Linked DNA regions of Macaca fascicularis. The protein of the gene in region 2 purifies or fractionates together with the protein of the main gene of each other region. This does not show direct contact. Links are inferred from orthologs where the notes say so. Each region holds a gene or a part of one and is shown on either strand. Other genes may lie near its edges.

Region 1 (4,934 bases), on a different chromosome or scaffold from region 2:
CGTTGGAAAACTATAAAAAATATCTGGGGTGCTATGATGCAAGAAAGGAAGCATTACTTGGTGGGGGCTGAAAAATAAACCAATTATAGTAAAGAAAAAAAAAAAAGTCTAGATCCTGGCTTCTTGACAGTATGGTCTGAGAAGCAACAGCATCGCTGGCAGCTTGTTAGAAATGTAGAGTCCTGGGCCCTGCCACAATCTGCATTTTTAATAAGAGCCTCGGGTGTTTTTTATGTGCTCATTAGGGTTTAAGCAGCACTGGGCCGTATCACTGTGAGGAGACCCAGACCATCAAAGGGACAGCTGAAGCATTTTTGAATACTTTGATACAGCACAGTGTATCTGAAAAGATACTGCATTTTTGAAAATTAAGTGCTATAAATACTAGAGAAAGACCTCTTTTTAAACTGCAGGGAGGTTTCTCATAAGCCAAATTTCTTTTGACTAGAAGCATTTGCTGGGGAGTAAAGTACCAGGCTTCCTTATAGTGAGGCAGAGCCACGTTAAAAATGTGCTGTAAGAGCTCAGCCTTGGCCAAGTCGACCATTCACCAGCTGGGTCAAGTCTGGAGCCTCCTAGGTCCCTTGGCAGTTCCGAGCTACCAGGATGAGCTTTTACAGGAAGTTGAGTTGGCTGCTGTTCTGCCCCAGAGAGCAGCTGAGTCTTTTTTCTTTTTTTGAGGAGTTTCACTCTTGCCGCCCAGGTTGGAGTGGAGTGGAGAGATCTTGGCTCATTGCAACCTCTGTCTCCCGGGTTCAAGCGATTCTCCTGCCTCAGCCTCCCGAGTAGCTGGGATTACAGGCGCCAGCCACCACTCTCGGCTAATTTTTGTATTTTTAGTAGAGACGGGGTTTTCACCATGTTGGCCAGGCTGGTCTCGAACTTCTGACCTCAGGTGGTCCACCCGCCTCAACCTCCCAAAGTGCTGGGATTACAGGCGTGAGCCACCGCTACCGACTCTGAGTTGGGTCTTTAATGTGGAAGATGCAGAAAGGAGACTTGACAAAACTATTTTCGGTGAGGCTGCTACACCGGGAAAGAGTAGTAGCAACTGCTCATTCACTGTGAAGCCTCAACGTGACCTTAGACCTCTGACCCCGCGCCTCACTCGGCGCTTCCGCGCGCAGCTTCCGCTCCCGCCCCTCCGATGAAGGGCGGGGCCAAAGGTGGGGGGTGGGACTCTGAGGTCGGCGGTTAGGGGCGGTGCCTGCTGGGGGCGGGTCTCGCGAGGGGCGGGATTCAAGGAGGCACTCGAGCATTGGGCACCAGGTAGAGGCGGGGCCTAGTGCTGGGCTGGGTTGGGCGGGGCAGGGAGTTCGTAGCCGCCTCTGGGTAACTCGACTCGGGCGGCCAAACCTCCGGAGTCCGGGGGCGGCAGGCGGGCCCACAGCAGATCCTGGATCCGGAATCTCCGGCGCAGGAGCGGAATCTGTCCCGAACCGGGTCTGTGAGGAACTCGCGAACTTGGATTAGGAAATCCCGGAGCCCGGATCGACAAATCCCGGAACCCGGAATTAAGATCGCCAAGTCCCGGATCGCGGAGTACAGAGCGCGGAGTGGACTCGACGCGTAGCCCGGAGTCCGGATCGCGGCACCGCGGGACGGGACGGAGCGATGTCGGGCCGAGGCGCGGGCGGGTTCCCGCTGCCCCCGCTAAGCCCTGGCGGCGGCGCCGTGGCCGCGGCCCTGGGAGCGCCTCCTCCCCCCGCCGGACCCGGCATGCTGCCCGGACCGGCGCTCCGGGGACCGGGTCCGGCTGGAGGCGTGGGGGGCCCCGGGGCCGCCGCCTTCCGCCCCATGGGCCCCGCGGGCCCCGCGGGGCAGTACCAGGTGAGTAGGGAGGACGCGAGCGGACGGGGGCGTGCGGCGCCGCGAGGGCGCCCGGGCCGGGGGCTGAGGGGGCCTCGAGTGAGGGCCTTGGGGAATGCATGAGGAACTCCGGGAGACGGTGGAGGGCGGGCCAGATCCCTCGGGCTGCGGCGGGTGGCGGTGGAGGAGTGGGGAAGGGGGAGCGAGTCCTGCAGCGGAGGGCTGGAACCAGCTGGGAGGCCTGGGGGCTTCCGCGGCACAGAGATTCCGAGTGACTGGGAGATGGAGGAGTTTGGGGAACCAGTGAATTGTGGGCGGGTGGGTTGAGAAGTCTAGGGTAGGAGGGCTAGAAAGTGATGAGAAAGTTTGGGAAAGGGCCCTCGCTGAGAAACCGGGGTTACCCTGCATCGGCCTTGGTCCCACTCCAAGTCTGCCCTGTTTTTTCTGGTTGCGAACTGGCCGAGCTCTAGCGTGTCTGAGATGGCTCCCGGCTGCTAATGAGGAGGAAGGAGCCTGGCTTCCCACGGGCACGGGACGCTGAGGCTACTAGGGCCAGGGGATTCATTCCAGCTTGTGCACGGGCGGACTTTACTCCAGAGGCAGGGCCAGGCGCCTTCGCTGGGGAGGACTCCAGCTTAGACCAGAGACGGTGGTGGCCAGGCTTGAGGGGAGGCCCAGCCTAGTCAAAGGCCGGCTCTCTTCTGGGCTTTCTGCCTCCTGTCATCGTGTCGGGTAGTTGATTAGTCTGGACGTGCAGAGTGGAACCCTGCTGGTCTGGGGCCCGAGGAGTCTGCGAGAGTTGCTTCAAAGAGTGCTGTCCTGACCCCTTTGGGGTTTTGAGAGCTGCTCAGGTTTCAGCTTCAAAAGCCCTTGGAAGGCAGCGACTTCTGCTCAGTGTGTGAGAACCTCAGCCTGACCCTGCTGGTCCCCTAGTCTGCTGTTCAGGTTGCACCAGCAGGCTTGGAAACTGTGCCCATCTGCCTTATCATCCTCTCTGCATTTTTATTTGGCCTTCAGGTTCTAACTCCGCCACATCCGAAGCCATATGCCCCAGCATTTGACACTGGCTTCTCCCAGGGTCTGCTGTGGGCTTCCTCTGTTTTCGACTCCTGTCTCCAGGCGGAGGTCCTTAGGGATCCTCGTGGAGTATACACAGCCTACCTGCCCCACTGGGCCTCACATCTAAGGAGATGGCTTAACTAGGGACAGTGACTGGATTTTTTTCCCTTCTTCCTCCTCATTCTTCCTCCTTTCTCAAGAGAAAACAGAGTCTGGATATGGGCAGAGACAGACCTGGTCCCAGGGACTCCAGCTGGGGCTCATCTTTCCCACCCTACTCTCCCCCTTGGGGATTCATGGGCCCAGGGTGTTGCTGAGGGCTCCCTGCATCAGTCATTGTAGCCCTTGGGCCTGCCCACTGAGACCTGGCCTGGGCACCATCTGTGGGCCTTTGGCCTTGGAAGGACCTGGAACAGACAAGCCGCTCCAGTTTCCTTGGCATGCAAAAAGTCATAGGAAATGTGCCCTTGAGACAGCCCCTAAGAGAATGGATTCCACATGTTTGGTGGGGGGTGGCCTTGGGCTTGTGGCAAGGCCAAGCTGGCTGGCTGGTTAGGCCTGGGCTGCTAGCTGTGGGGAAGTAGGAGATGGCCCTGAGTCTGGGTTTCCCATCCCACTAGCTTTCCTCCTCTTGGCAGGAGAGGTAGATGGTACAGAGAACCCAGCCAGCTAACTTTGGCTGAGTTTGAAGAGGATCCTACTTGCTCTCTTTCCAAGTCCAGTTGTATGACTTCCAGGAGAAGGGACTTGAGATCTGGGAAACAGAGGGGTTCCTGTCTGTTAGGGCTCATGAGATGTGCTGGAAAAGCGAGAATTTGAGGCCCAAGCTGAACAAATAGTTGAAAGAAGGGAAGTGATGACCTCCCTTCCTCCAGAGGGTGGTTCTGGCTGTGGATCACAGTTAACAGAGGAACCTAAAACAAAAACAACAACAAAAAACCCTCCAGGGCAGGATGTGGTGGCTCACACCTATAATCCTAGCACTTTGGGAGGCCCAGACAGAAGGATTACTTGAGATCAGGAGTTCAAGACCAGCCTAGGCAACATAGTGAGACCATAATTTCTCAAAAAAAAAAAACCCAAAAAAATTTAGCCAAACTTGGTGGTGTGCGCTTATGGTCCCAGCTAGTCGGGATGCTGTGGCAGGAGGATTGCCTGAGTCCAGGAGTTCAAGGCTGTATTGAGCTATGATCCTGCCACTGCACTCCAGCCTGGGCAACAAAATAACAAAAACCTCAGATTTCTGGGTTCACTCCAGAGAGTTCAAAAAGTTCAAAATCTTTTTTTTTTTTTTTTTTTTTTTTGAGACGGAGTCTCACTCTGTCGCCCAGGCTGGAGTGCAGTGGCATGATATCAGCTCACTGCAACCTCCACCTCCCAGGTTCAAGCAATTCTCTGCCTCAGCCTCCTGAGTAGCTGGGATTACAGGTGCCCGCCACCATGCCCGGCTAATTTTTTTTGTGTTTTCAGTAGACACGGGGTTTCACCATCTTAGCCAGGATGGTCTTGAACTCCTGACCTTGTGATCCACCTGCCTCGGCCTCCCAAAGTGCTGGGATTATAGGTGTGAGCCACCGCGCCCTGCCTCAAAATCCTTTTTACTCATGGGAGAGTGGTGGTATGTTCCCCAACTGAGGCCCTCAGGCCCAGGTTCCAGAGCATCAGGGCCACATTTGGGGCAGGGCAAAGCATGCTCACTGGAGCCCTGGATTCCTCATCTGGGGTTCAGGGGATTGATCCAGGCCTACCTGATCCTGTTGCAAGCAGGGAGTTAGGGAGGCTCAGAGTTCTGGACTGTTTTTTGTTTGTTTTTCCTAACTCCTGAGTTGTTTTTGTTTTTTGTTTTTTGAAGGGGGAGGAGTTGCTAGCACCTATAAGCCCAGGTATGGAGCTTAGCAAAGCTCAGCTAGAATTTGAACTGTTAGCAGCCTTCCCCTGGGGTCCTGAGTGAGCTGGGGGCTCTGGGCCCGGGAAGCCTGGAGCAGATGTCTAGGTGGAGCCTATTCCAGGCCCTGCCTGTGCAGCCTTGTCTTAGGACTTCCTGTTACCAGAGCACCTGCCCAGGA
Region 2 (4,899 bases):
TCTAGGAACACTGGCCTGGGCCTTTCCCAAGGCAGCCTTGGGTCTGGTGAGGAGCTGGAATCCCCTCTGGCTTTCGTAGCCTGTCATGTCAGAACATTCCAAGTCAGCCTGAGGAAGAAAAGGCTGCTGCTGGGATTTGGTGGGGCCTGTAGATCAGGACAACACTGGAGTTTTCTGTGTATGTCTTGATCTTTTCAGATCCAGCTCAATCGGGGTCTCTTAGAATGTAAATGGTAAACTTTAAACAATTTTTACGCTACAGGATAGAAAACAAATCTGAGAAGCATCCATTTTCTAAGTGACTTGTTGGACTGTGCCTTTTCTTCAAGGAGAAAATGGTTTCCATTTTCTGCATCTCTCTTCTGTAATGGTTTGAACACTCAGGTTCCTGCAGTCCCTGGAGCCTCTTCTGTGGGTTTTCAGTCTTAGAAGGTACTGTCTTTGGAGACTGGGGATACTGGTCATTGTGGGCTAAGTTTTCCTGAGAGGGAGTGAAAACAGGGTTTAGGTTCTCCTGCTGGGTAACTGTTGTATGCTCCTAAAGCAACTTCAAGTGGCCTCCATTTTAAGTCAGTGGTGAGATGATCAGTTTTGACTTCAAATCCATTTTGATATTCTGATTCCATTGTTGAATGTGCTCACAACTTGACTTTTTTTTTTTTTTTTTTTTTTTTTTTAAGGCAAGTAGACCGAAGGCAGCTTTGGTGACTCCACTTCTTTTTAAAGTCACCCTCCTCTGCCCTCTGACTTTAAGTGACAGGCAGTTCCCTCCCCTCTTTCAATTCTGTAAAATGGGGATAATCCGGACCTCATGCCCCCAGAGCCTTGTGAGGACCGGCTAATGAGGGCAGGCGAGTGGGAAACGAATCATCTGAACAATGACCAGTCATTCCTTTGGGCTCGCAAAGAGGGTAAAAAGGCTGGGTCTTTAGCGGGGTCTGTAGAAGGCTTTGAAGACGAAAAGTGCTGTAGAGGTGCTAAACAGCAGCCAACGGACCGGGCCCGCTGCCAGGGGGTCAGGGCTGGGCCGAGGCGGCCGCGGTCTCGGGCTCTGGCCAATTTTGCAGTCGCGGGTAAAGTTCACGCTGCCCGCTCCCCTCGGTACGGCCGGGAGGGGACAGACCTGGATAGGGACGCCGGGAGGGAGGCGGCGCAGGCTCCAGAGATGCGCGGGCTCCGGGCCGGGTTTTCTCCGAAGCCTTCGGCGGCGGCGCTGCCTAGCGAAAGCGGCTAAGGGCCTGCCGCCGCCGCGGCTTGTTCTCTCCCCTCCTCCTTTGTGAGGGGTAGGGAGCGAGTCCGTTCCACGGCCTGCGCCCGCTCCGCTCTCCACTCCGGGTTTGCAAGGCGGCCGCGACGGCGCTGGGTAAAATGGCAGTGCTGAGCCTCGTGTCGGAGTGAGGGGGACTCGGAGGAGAGTGGGGCGCTCTAGCCGCTCAGTCCGGCCGACCGCTTTCTCGCCCGCCCGCTGCCGCGCCGCAGCCTCGACCCAAGCCGCGGCTGGCGAGGGAAGGCAGGGCGCCCGGCCCGGCCCGCGCTCTGACTCTGGCTCCCGGCGCCCGGGCTGCTGCCGCGCGCCCTCCAGCCCGCCCGTCCCGGGTCCCCCTCCCCCCGCTCCCTCCCTCCCTCCCCGCCCCCTCCCCCTCGCCTCCCTCCCTCCCTCCCTCCTCCTTTCTCCGGCAGCAGAAAGCGGAGAGTCACAGCGGGGCCAGGCCCTGGGGAGCGGAGCCTCCACCGCCCCCCTCATTCCCAGGCAAGGGCTTGGGGGGAATGAGCCGGGAGAGCCGGGTCCCGAGCCTACAGAGCCGGGAGCAGCTGAGCCGCCGGCGCCTCGGCCGCCGCCGCCTCCTCCTCCTCCGCCGCCGCCAGCCCGGAGCCTGAGCCGGCGGGGCGGGGGGGAGAGGAGCGAGCGCAGCGCAGCAGCGGAGCCCCGCGAGGCCCGCCCGGGCGGGTGGGGAGGGCAGCCCGGGGGACTCGGCCCCGGGGCGGGGTGGGAGGGGGGGAGAAGACGAAGACAGGGCCGGGTCTCTCCGCGGACGAGACAGCGGGGATCATGGCCGCGCAGGTCGCCCCCGCCGCCGCCAGCAGCCTGGGCAACCCGCCGCCGCCGCCGCCCTCGGAGCTGAAGAAAGCCGAGCAGCAGCAGCGGGAGGAGGCGGGGGGCGAGGCGGCGGCGGCGGCAGCGGCCGAGCGCGGGGAAATGAAGGCAGCCGCCGGGCAGGAAAGCGAGGGCCCTGCCGTGGGGCCGCCGCAGCCGCTGGGAAAGGAGCTGCAAGACGGGGCCGAGAGCAATGGGGGTGGCGGCGGCGGCGGAGCTGGCGGCGGCGGCGGGCCCGGCGCGGAGCCGGACCTGAAGAACTCGAACGGGAACGCGGGCCCTAGGCCCGCCCTGAACAATAACCTCACGGAGCCGCCCGGCGGCGGCGGTGGCGGCAGCAGCGATGGGGTGGGGGCGCCTCCTCACTCTGCCGCGGCCGCCTTGCCGCCCCCAGCCTACGGCTTCGGGCAACCCTACGGCCGGAGCCCGTCTGCCGTCGCCGCCGCCGCGGCCGCCGTCTTCCACCAACAACATGGCGGACAACAAAGCCCTGGCCTGGCAGCGCTGCAGAGCGGCGGCGGCGGGGGCCTGGAGCCCTACGCGGGGCCCCAGCAGAACTCTCACGACCACGGCTTCCCCAACCACCAGTACAACTCCTACTACCCCAACCGCAGCGCCTACCCCCCGCCCGCCCCGGCCTACGCGCTGAGCTCCCCGAGAGGTGGCACTCCGGGCTCCGGCGCGGCGGCGGCTCCCGGCTCCAAGCCGCCTCCCTCCTCCAGCGCCTCCGCCTCTTCGTCGTCTTCGTCCTTCGCTCAGCAGCGCTTCGGGGCCATGGGGGGAGGCGGCCCCTCCGCGGCCGGCGGGGGAACTCCCCAGCCCACCGCCACCCCCACCCTCAACCAACTGCTCACGTCGCCCAGCTCGGCCCGGGGCTACCAGGGCTACCCCGGGGGCGACTACGGCGGCGGGCCCCAGGACGGGGGCGCCGGCAAGGGCCCGGCGGACATGGCCTCGCAGTGCTGGGGGGCTGCGGCGGCGGCAGCGGCGGCGGCGGCGGCGGCGGCCGCCTCGGGAGGGGCCCAACAAAGGAGCCACCACGCGCCCATGAGCCCCGGGAGCAGCGGCGGCGGGGGGCAGCCGCTCGCCCGGACCCCTCAGGTACACAGCTGAGTGGGGAGGGGGCTGGGGCGAGCGTGGTCCTGGGGGTGGGTGGCGGCTGCGGTCAGCGGGCCACAGCCTTGGGCTCCCCTCAGTCTCGGGCCCCCACTGCTGGGGAGCTGCCATTGTCTGGCTCTTCTCTCTTAAAATGGCTGCCTGTCTGCCTTCCTCTCCTTTCCTCCTCCAGCCTTTGTGTCGGGCTTTCCCAGAGGTGTCTGCTTCTCTTGTTCCTCTCCCTTGGTCCCTTCGAACTCCAGGGGTCTTGATGGGGGTGCGGGGCAGAGTGTGTGGGGAAGGGCCTGGCCGGGAGTGAGGGGGTGCTGGGGGCTCAGGTTAGGAGTGTAGGCAGTGGTAGGAACCCAGGAGTTGAATGAACGTTTCTTTGCTCACCTGCCGCTCCTCTCCGTCCCCCGGCCTTCCTCTGGGCCGCCCCCCATCTGTGCTTTCAAAGAGGGCCCCTAGAGCTCGGAGGGACCTCGAGGGAGGGCAGGGGACTGCTTGGGAGCTGCTAGAGGCCGGCTGCGGTTCACCTAGGGCAGCCCTTGCCATCTCCTGTCTTAGGCTCCGCCGGCCCAGTGGCCTGGGCTTCTCTCTGGAAGTGCTGGTAAACAGCTGAGTGATTGGAGTAGTAAGTGCAGATTGCTTTGGTTTGGGATTTGAATTATGGAGGTAAAATCCTTCTGTCAAAGCCAGGAGACAGTTGGTCTTAGGTTGACATCCTATCTGTGATCTGATTGGCTCCCCATCTCCTGCTCTTGGCCATTTATAATTGCCTCTGATGTAATGGTACAACAATCCTGATGAGCTCATAAACTTTTACACTCTGCTTTTCTGCCAGTGATAACCCAAACCATCGCTGCCACTATCTGCCTTTTATTCCAGAGCTGAAATTGGCTGTGACCTTGAGGAGGGAGGTTTAAGTAGCAATACTGTATCAGCAGGAGCAAAGCCTCAGACAGCCTGCCCTTGTTACATTGTGCCCGAAACAAAAGAGGGGGCAATGGCATTTTGCTTGTACCTTGGATTTATTTTGCTTGTTATGTTTTATGCAGCCTGAAATGAATTCTGTGTTGTCAGAACAGTAGCTGAGTTTTTTCTCTACAATGGGTTTGCTGTTTGTTTTGGTTTTGTGACTTTCCTGATGGTATAAATGACTTCTTTGATGGCTCTGAAGATGCATTTGTCTTGAGTAATTTTGACACTGGTTGCTTTGCAGAATTGAAATGATTTTACTGGGGTTTTTATTGAGTGGCAAATGTGGGATCTTTGTGGGTGGGGGAGAAAACAATTTTCGTTTTTTAGTTTTTTCTTTTTAAGAACTGGGAGCTTTCTGAGGAATTTTATATTAGGTTCAAGCATTCTGTGTTATGGAAGGCTGGCCTCATTCTTTGTTTACATGTTGAATCTTGTTAACACTTTCTTTTGTTAATTGAACTTTGGAATAGCAGCTTAATTTAAACGGAAGTTGGTGTCTTTCATGATCTTGAGGGACTTTCTCCTAAAGGCTTGGTTTGGTGAAATTGTTTTTTCCTGGAATAACAAAAAGTCTAGTTTTCTGTTTTGTCATCAGTCATTTTAGAGCTTTGAAATAGAGACTGGCCAATTTATTCCTTTGCATTTTAATGTACCACTTTTTTTCTTGTCTTCCAAGACATGAAGATATGACCTAGAATGACACTTGAGATTAGCTTAGAAATTGCAAC
Region 3 (5,133 bases), on a different chromosome or scaffold from region 2:
TTTAATGAGATTCCAATAAGAGAAGGCGGTCACAGGAATTTATTCTGGGCCAAAAGTATTATAATAATCTTGAAAACAATCCCCTACTCTACGCCATCTTTTAATATCAATAGTTCCTTCCTGTGGAAACCAAGGGCAAGTATCTTTTACAAAATCAAAAAATTTAAACAAATCATTACTTTTAACCTTTACTCCTCGTATCCTTAAAGCCTCTTTTAATTGTCCTACATAGATTTGATGTTGACTTAATTCTTGTCCCATTTCGGACGCGTCACTTACCTTCGATTCTGACGCGGCAGGTTCCCGCGGTGATTGGAGGAGTTTAACTTCTTTCGTCTTTGTTAACGATCGACCGGTCTTTCGCGTCCTCTTCCTCACGGAGTCCCTCGTTTCCAGGCCTCACGTTTGGGCGCCACGAGTCCCAGCCCACGGGATCGTCAAAGCAGGCCCTGGAAGAGGGGGGTGGGAATTTGGGGAACAAGAGACACTAGAAATGGAGACAAGACAGTATCCTGATCAAGTCTCGTTTAATGGCGGTAATGCAATGCCTTATATACATTTGGAGGGGAAGGGGTTGGGCTAAGGCGGAAATTACCTAAAAAAGGAAGGCGTGGCCAGATAAGCCTCGGTTTCTCCGGTCGGACTTCATGTTGCGCCTGCGCAGTCAGGTAGTCTTTTCGCAGGCGCGGGAAAAAAGAATGAAAAAGAAGCAGGAAGAGCGCCATCTTTTAATGGCAGTATTAATACAGGGAAGAAGGTAAATCTAGGGAGAAGGTGTGGGGTGGAAATGAATATAGCTCAGGCGTTTAATCTTTAATTATTATTCACTATGGCCGGGGCGTGCAGCTCCGGACACTCCACCTCCTGGGTTCAAGCGATTCTCCTGCCTCAGCCTCCCAAGTAGCTGGGACTACAGGTGTGTGCCACCACGCCCAGCTAATTTTCGTATTTTTAGTAGAGACGGGGTTTCACTGTGTTGACCAGGCTGGTCTCGAACTCCTGACCTCGTGATCTACCCGCCTCGGCCTCCCAAAGTGCTGGGATTACACGGGTGAGCCACCACACCCGGCCTGAAATTTTTTTTTTTTTTTTTTAAGAAATTGATTTTTTAAATCGTTTTTAAAGCGCTACCTAGGTTTAGCTGGGATAATGCATCATTTCATTCTTCTTTTACTTATTAATAACCATTTAAAAAATTACAAGATCCTATCAATTTGTCTGATTTACTGATTCCCCTATCCCAAAGTGGAGCGCAAAATTTTTATTTCTTCAACCTAAAGTTAGTTTAAAATACTTTTTCTGAAGAAAAAAAGAAAGAAATCCACATTGCCCACAGTCACTGGACAGGAATCTCAGCGTTGAGACACACGTTCAATTTCCAGAAGTCTACCTTCCCCTACCCAGGTTCCCGCAGCTCCTCAGCGCCCAGCCGCACCTCTTACGCCCCTCCCATGCTTCCCTCCAGCCTTCCTCCTTCTTCTCCCACTGCCTCCGCCCACTCTCTCGCCCACCCGGGAAGCTCCGCCCGCTTCAGCTCCGCAACCCAACTCCTTCTGTCCGGCTGTCGCTTTCCTCTTTCCCCGCCCCCATGGCTGCCTTCGATTGGCTAAACCTGCTGGGCCGCGGCGGGGATGCGGCGCAGCCGCATTCTGATTGACTAAACGTAGGCCTGGACCCTCGTGATTGGCTGATAGGAGGAGACAGCAAGTGTAGCTGAGCTCCGGGGTGTGTGGACGCCGCTTTGTTGCCTGAGGGGGGTGGCGGTGGAAGTTAAGGGAGTCAGGGGCTATCGCTTCTCGGGACTCGCAGTCGGGGCCACTGCAGTCACTTCTCCAGTTAGCCCTTAGGGTAGGGGTCGCGCCGGCAGCAGCCATGAGCGGCGGCGTGTACGGGGGAGGTGAGTGAGTGCGGCCGGAGGAGAGAGCGCGCGTTTTCGGCGTGTGGGGTTTGTAACCGCCGCTCCCAGCCCTCCCCTCCTCGGCGTTCCCTTCCGGTTTCCCCCTCTCGGGACCCCGGCCTCCCCGCCCCATCCCCGCCCCACGCTCTGCCCGCCCCCGGAGCCCACCAGGCTCGGCCAGCGCCTCGGGCGCCCTGGAGTGGTGGCTCTCTGTGGCCGGTTCCTGCCTCTGCCCCCGGAGAAGCAGGGTTTTGGGATGCACGCTCGTTTCTCTAGAGAGCCTCGGGGCTGGGCGGGAAGCTCAGTCCAGCCGGCCGCCGGGCCCGGCTTGCGTTACCGCCCCAGGGTCGCATCTCCACGAGTGCCTCCTGGACTCGGCTGTGTCGGGGCGCATGTGCTCGCGCCTAAACTTGGAAGGTCCCGGCGGTTTGCAAGCGTGGACGGAGGGTTCCCAGAGCGTCTCACAGGTGGCAATGCGAGCCTCAAGCCGTAGAACTGACTAGGGAAGCGGCGGCCACTTAGGGTACTGCCTCCTCCCTGTCTGTGCCCCATGCGCGAGCTGCCTCACCTTTCAGTAACTCCTGCCTGTTTGTTGGCTGCGGAGTCTCCAGAGTGACTCGTGGGCGGGTCTGTTTGAGATTAATTCAGGAGCACGTGTAGTTTAAGGATGCCCAGAAAGTTTGCCGGGGGTCCTAGACGTCTTGTTTTTTCACTTATCCTTGATTAGACTGGTATGGCAGAAAGATTACCAGGTGCGGGGGGTTACAGACCTGAGTTGAAATATCCGCCTCACTGTTGAGCGCTTTGGTCTTAGGCAATTTACATAATTTTCCAACTTCAGGCCTCATTTGTGGAATAATTCCTAGCCAATGGGGATGGGCGTGAAGGTTAAATGAAATAATGCTACATTTGCCACTTAAAGTCTGGTCCATGGACCAGCAGTGTCAGCATCACCTGCAAGCCTGTTAGAAATGCAGAATCTCACGCGTCATTCAAAATCTACTGATTTAGAGCCTCCATTTTTGCAAGATCTGCAGGTGAATCAAAACACTGATACATATAATTAATGTTTTGGGTTGTGTTTGATGAGTTAGAGACCCAGAAAACAAATCCAGACTATTGCTATTGTTGCTGTGTCTAGTAGTGATGCTGTTTCTATAAAGGATGTCATTTTACAGGTAAGATACAACAAAAATAAGATTTTTCCTTCATGTTCCCCAAGAAAATCACATCACCCCTAAACTTGGAAGGAGAAAAACATTTAAATCCTCAAAAAAGAAAAAAAAGCCTTTTTAGTAGAATAGAGGTTCAATTTTTTTTTTTTTTTTTTTTTTTTTTTTTTTTTTTGAGACGGAGTCCTGCTCTGTCGCCCGGGCTGGAGTGGGCTGGAGTGCAGTGGCCGGGTTTACGTCATTCTCCTGCCTCAGCCTCCCGAGTAGCTGGGACTACAGGCGCCCGCCACCTCGCCTGGCTAGTTTTTCTGTATTTTTTAGTAGAGACGGGGTTTCACCGTGTTAGCCAGGATGGCCTCGATCTCCTGACATCGTGATCCGCCCGTCTCGGCCTCCCAAAGTGCTGAGATTACAGGCTTGAGCCCCCGCGCCCGGCCGAGGTTCAATTCTTGAGGATTTTTATACACTAGAAATTGCATCCTAGGTTTTAAACATCCAGAACTCTGTGGTTCTTTCTACTAAGCCTCCTGCCTCCCATTGCCACTCTCCTACTTAGGGTTCATGGGGCTTGATTTTTAATGAAGCAGGGTACAGGAATTAGATGTATCTCCCATCCTGAAAAAGGAACAGATGTAAAATTCTAAGAATTTAGAGTCTTAAATTAAACTTCCACCATATCCAGTTTACTAATTAGGGCAGGAAAATGAGCTGATATGTTGGATTTTTTTCTATTTCACAAAAATGTTTTTTGAGCACTATGTGGCAGGTATAGGCTGTTGTCATCAAGAAGTTCAGTCTTGTAGATGAATCCGTTAGGTAAATAGACACCATATTTCACCGATTCTTAATTGTACATTTTTCCCACATTTAAACAGCTGAAGTTGGAATATGTCTTTTGTTTGTTTGTTTGTTTTTAATAGAGACGGGTCTTGAACTCCTGAGCTCAGGCAGTCCTCCCGCCTCAGCCTCCCAAAGTGCTAGGATTACAGGTTTGAGCCACTGCCCCCAGCCAGAATATGTCTCAGTAGTGCTGGCCTGGCAGAGTTTTAATTGCCATATTATTTTCTTAGTGATGCCGGAAATAGTGGTGCATCATGTAGTTGATAGCATCTTATATTGATCAGAAATGGTAACTGTAATTCAATGAGAGCTGTTCATTGATAACAATATGTAGAAGGGGCCAGGTGCGGTGGCTCACACCTGTAATCCCAACAACTTGGGAGGCTGAGGCGGGCGGATCACTTGAGGCCAGGAGTTCAAGATCAACCTGGCCAACATGACAAAACCCTGTCTCTACTAAAAATACAAAAATTAGCCAGGCATGGTGGCACATGCCTGGAGTCCCAGCTACTGGGGAGGCTGAGGCACAAGAATCACTTGAACCCGGAACTGCACTCCAGCCTGGGTGACAGAGCAGGACTGTATCCTAAAAAAACAAAAACAAACATATATATTTATATATGTTATATATAATTTATATATATAATATATATAATTTTTATGTTATATATGTTATATATATTTATATGTTATATATTTATATATGTTATATATATTTACATATGTTATATATATATAGTGCAAAAGTAGTTCAGAGAATAAAGTTATTGATTCCATGTGGTGGAGTCAAGGGACTTTACAATAGAGGTAATGGAGATGATGGAGGAGGAGTGGAAAGGGACAACATATGCAAAGGTTAGCTGAGAGTATGTGGTGTGTTCAGGAGATGACATATTACCCAGTAAGTCAGTGTATGAGGCAGGAAGTGAGACTGCTACCAGATATTGCTACGCCTTGAATTTCAACTGGCTAGAGTGATTTAAATTTTATCAAATTCAATGATGAGAAACCACGGAATGATTCACCCCCTTATTTTTGTTGAAGGATTTATGTACCAAAATAATGACAGTTACAATATTGAAAGATCACAGTGCAGCAGTTGGAAGGGTAGATTTAAGAGGCAAAGAGGTGGAGGCACGGTATCTGTAGGGAATTGTAGTTTCCCTGTTGAGATAAGAGCTTGATTGAAGGCAGGGGCAATGGTATTTAAAAGGAGGGGATTTG

Evidence for each region.
Region 1: the proteins of ARID1A (region 2) and SMARCD2 purify together in Homo sapiens (affinity purification with mass spectrometry; 7 studies listed by BioGRID and IntAct, with this or other methods). This does not show direct contact. The link is inferred for Macaca fascicularis from reciprocal best matches to the Homo sapiens genes ARID1A and SMARCD2.
Region 3: the proteins of ARID1A (region 2) and ACTL6A purify together in Homo sapiens (affinity purification with mass spectrometry; 5 studies listed by BioGRID and IntAct, with this or other methods). This does not show direct contact. The link is inferred for Macaca fascicularis from reciprocal best matches to the Homo sapiens genes ARID1A and ACTL6A.

What each region holds. Positions count from the first base shown.
Region 1 is NC_088390.1:70,346,261-70,351,194, reverse strand, and holds the start of SMARCD2 (SWI/SNF-related matrix-associated actin-dependent regulator of chromatin subfamily D member 2), read left to right. Parts: upstream 1-1,603; 5' UTR 1,604-1,614; coding exon 1,615-1,830; intron 1,831-4,934. UniProt on the Homo sapiens protein: Involved in transcriptional activation and repression of select genes by chromatin remodeling (alteration of DNA-nucleosome topology).
Region 2 is NC_088375.1:208,411,671-208,416,569, reverse strand, and holds the start of ARID1A (AT-rich interactive domain-containing protein 1A), read left to right. Parts: upstream 1-1,678; 5' UTR 1,679-2,050; coding exon 2,051-3,196; intron 3,197-4,899. UniProt on the Homo sapiens protein: Involved in transcriptional activation and repression of select genes by chromatin remodeling (alteration of DNA-nucleosome topology).
Region 3 is NC_088376.1:91,314,877-91,320,009, forward strand, and holds the start of ACTL6A (actin-like protein 6A), read left to right. Parts: upstream 1-2,056; 5' UTR 2,057-2,153; coding exon 2,154-2,364; exon of another isoform or gene 2,365-2,420; intron 2,421-5,133.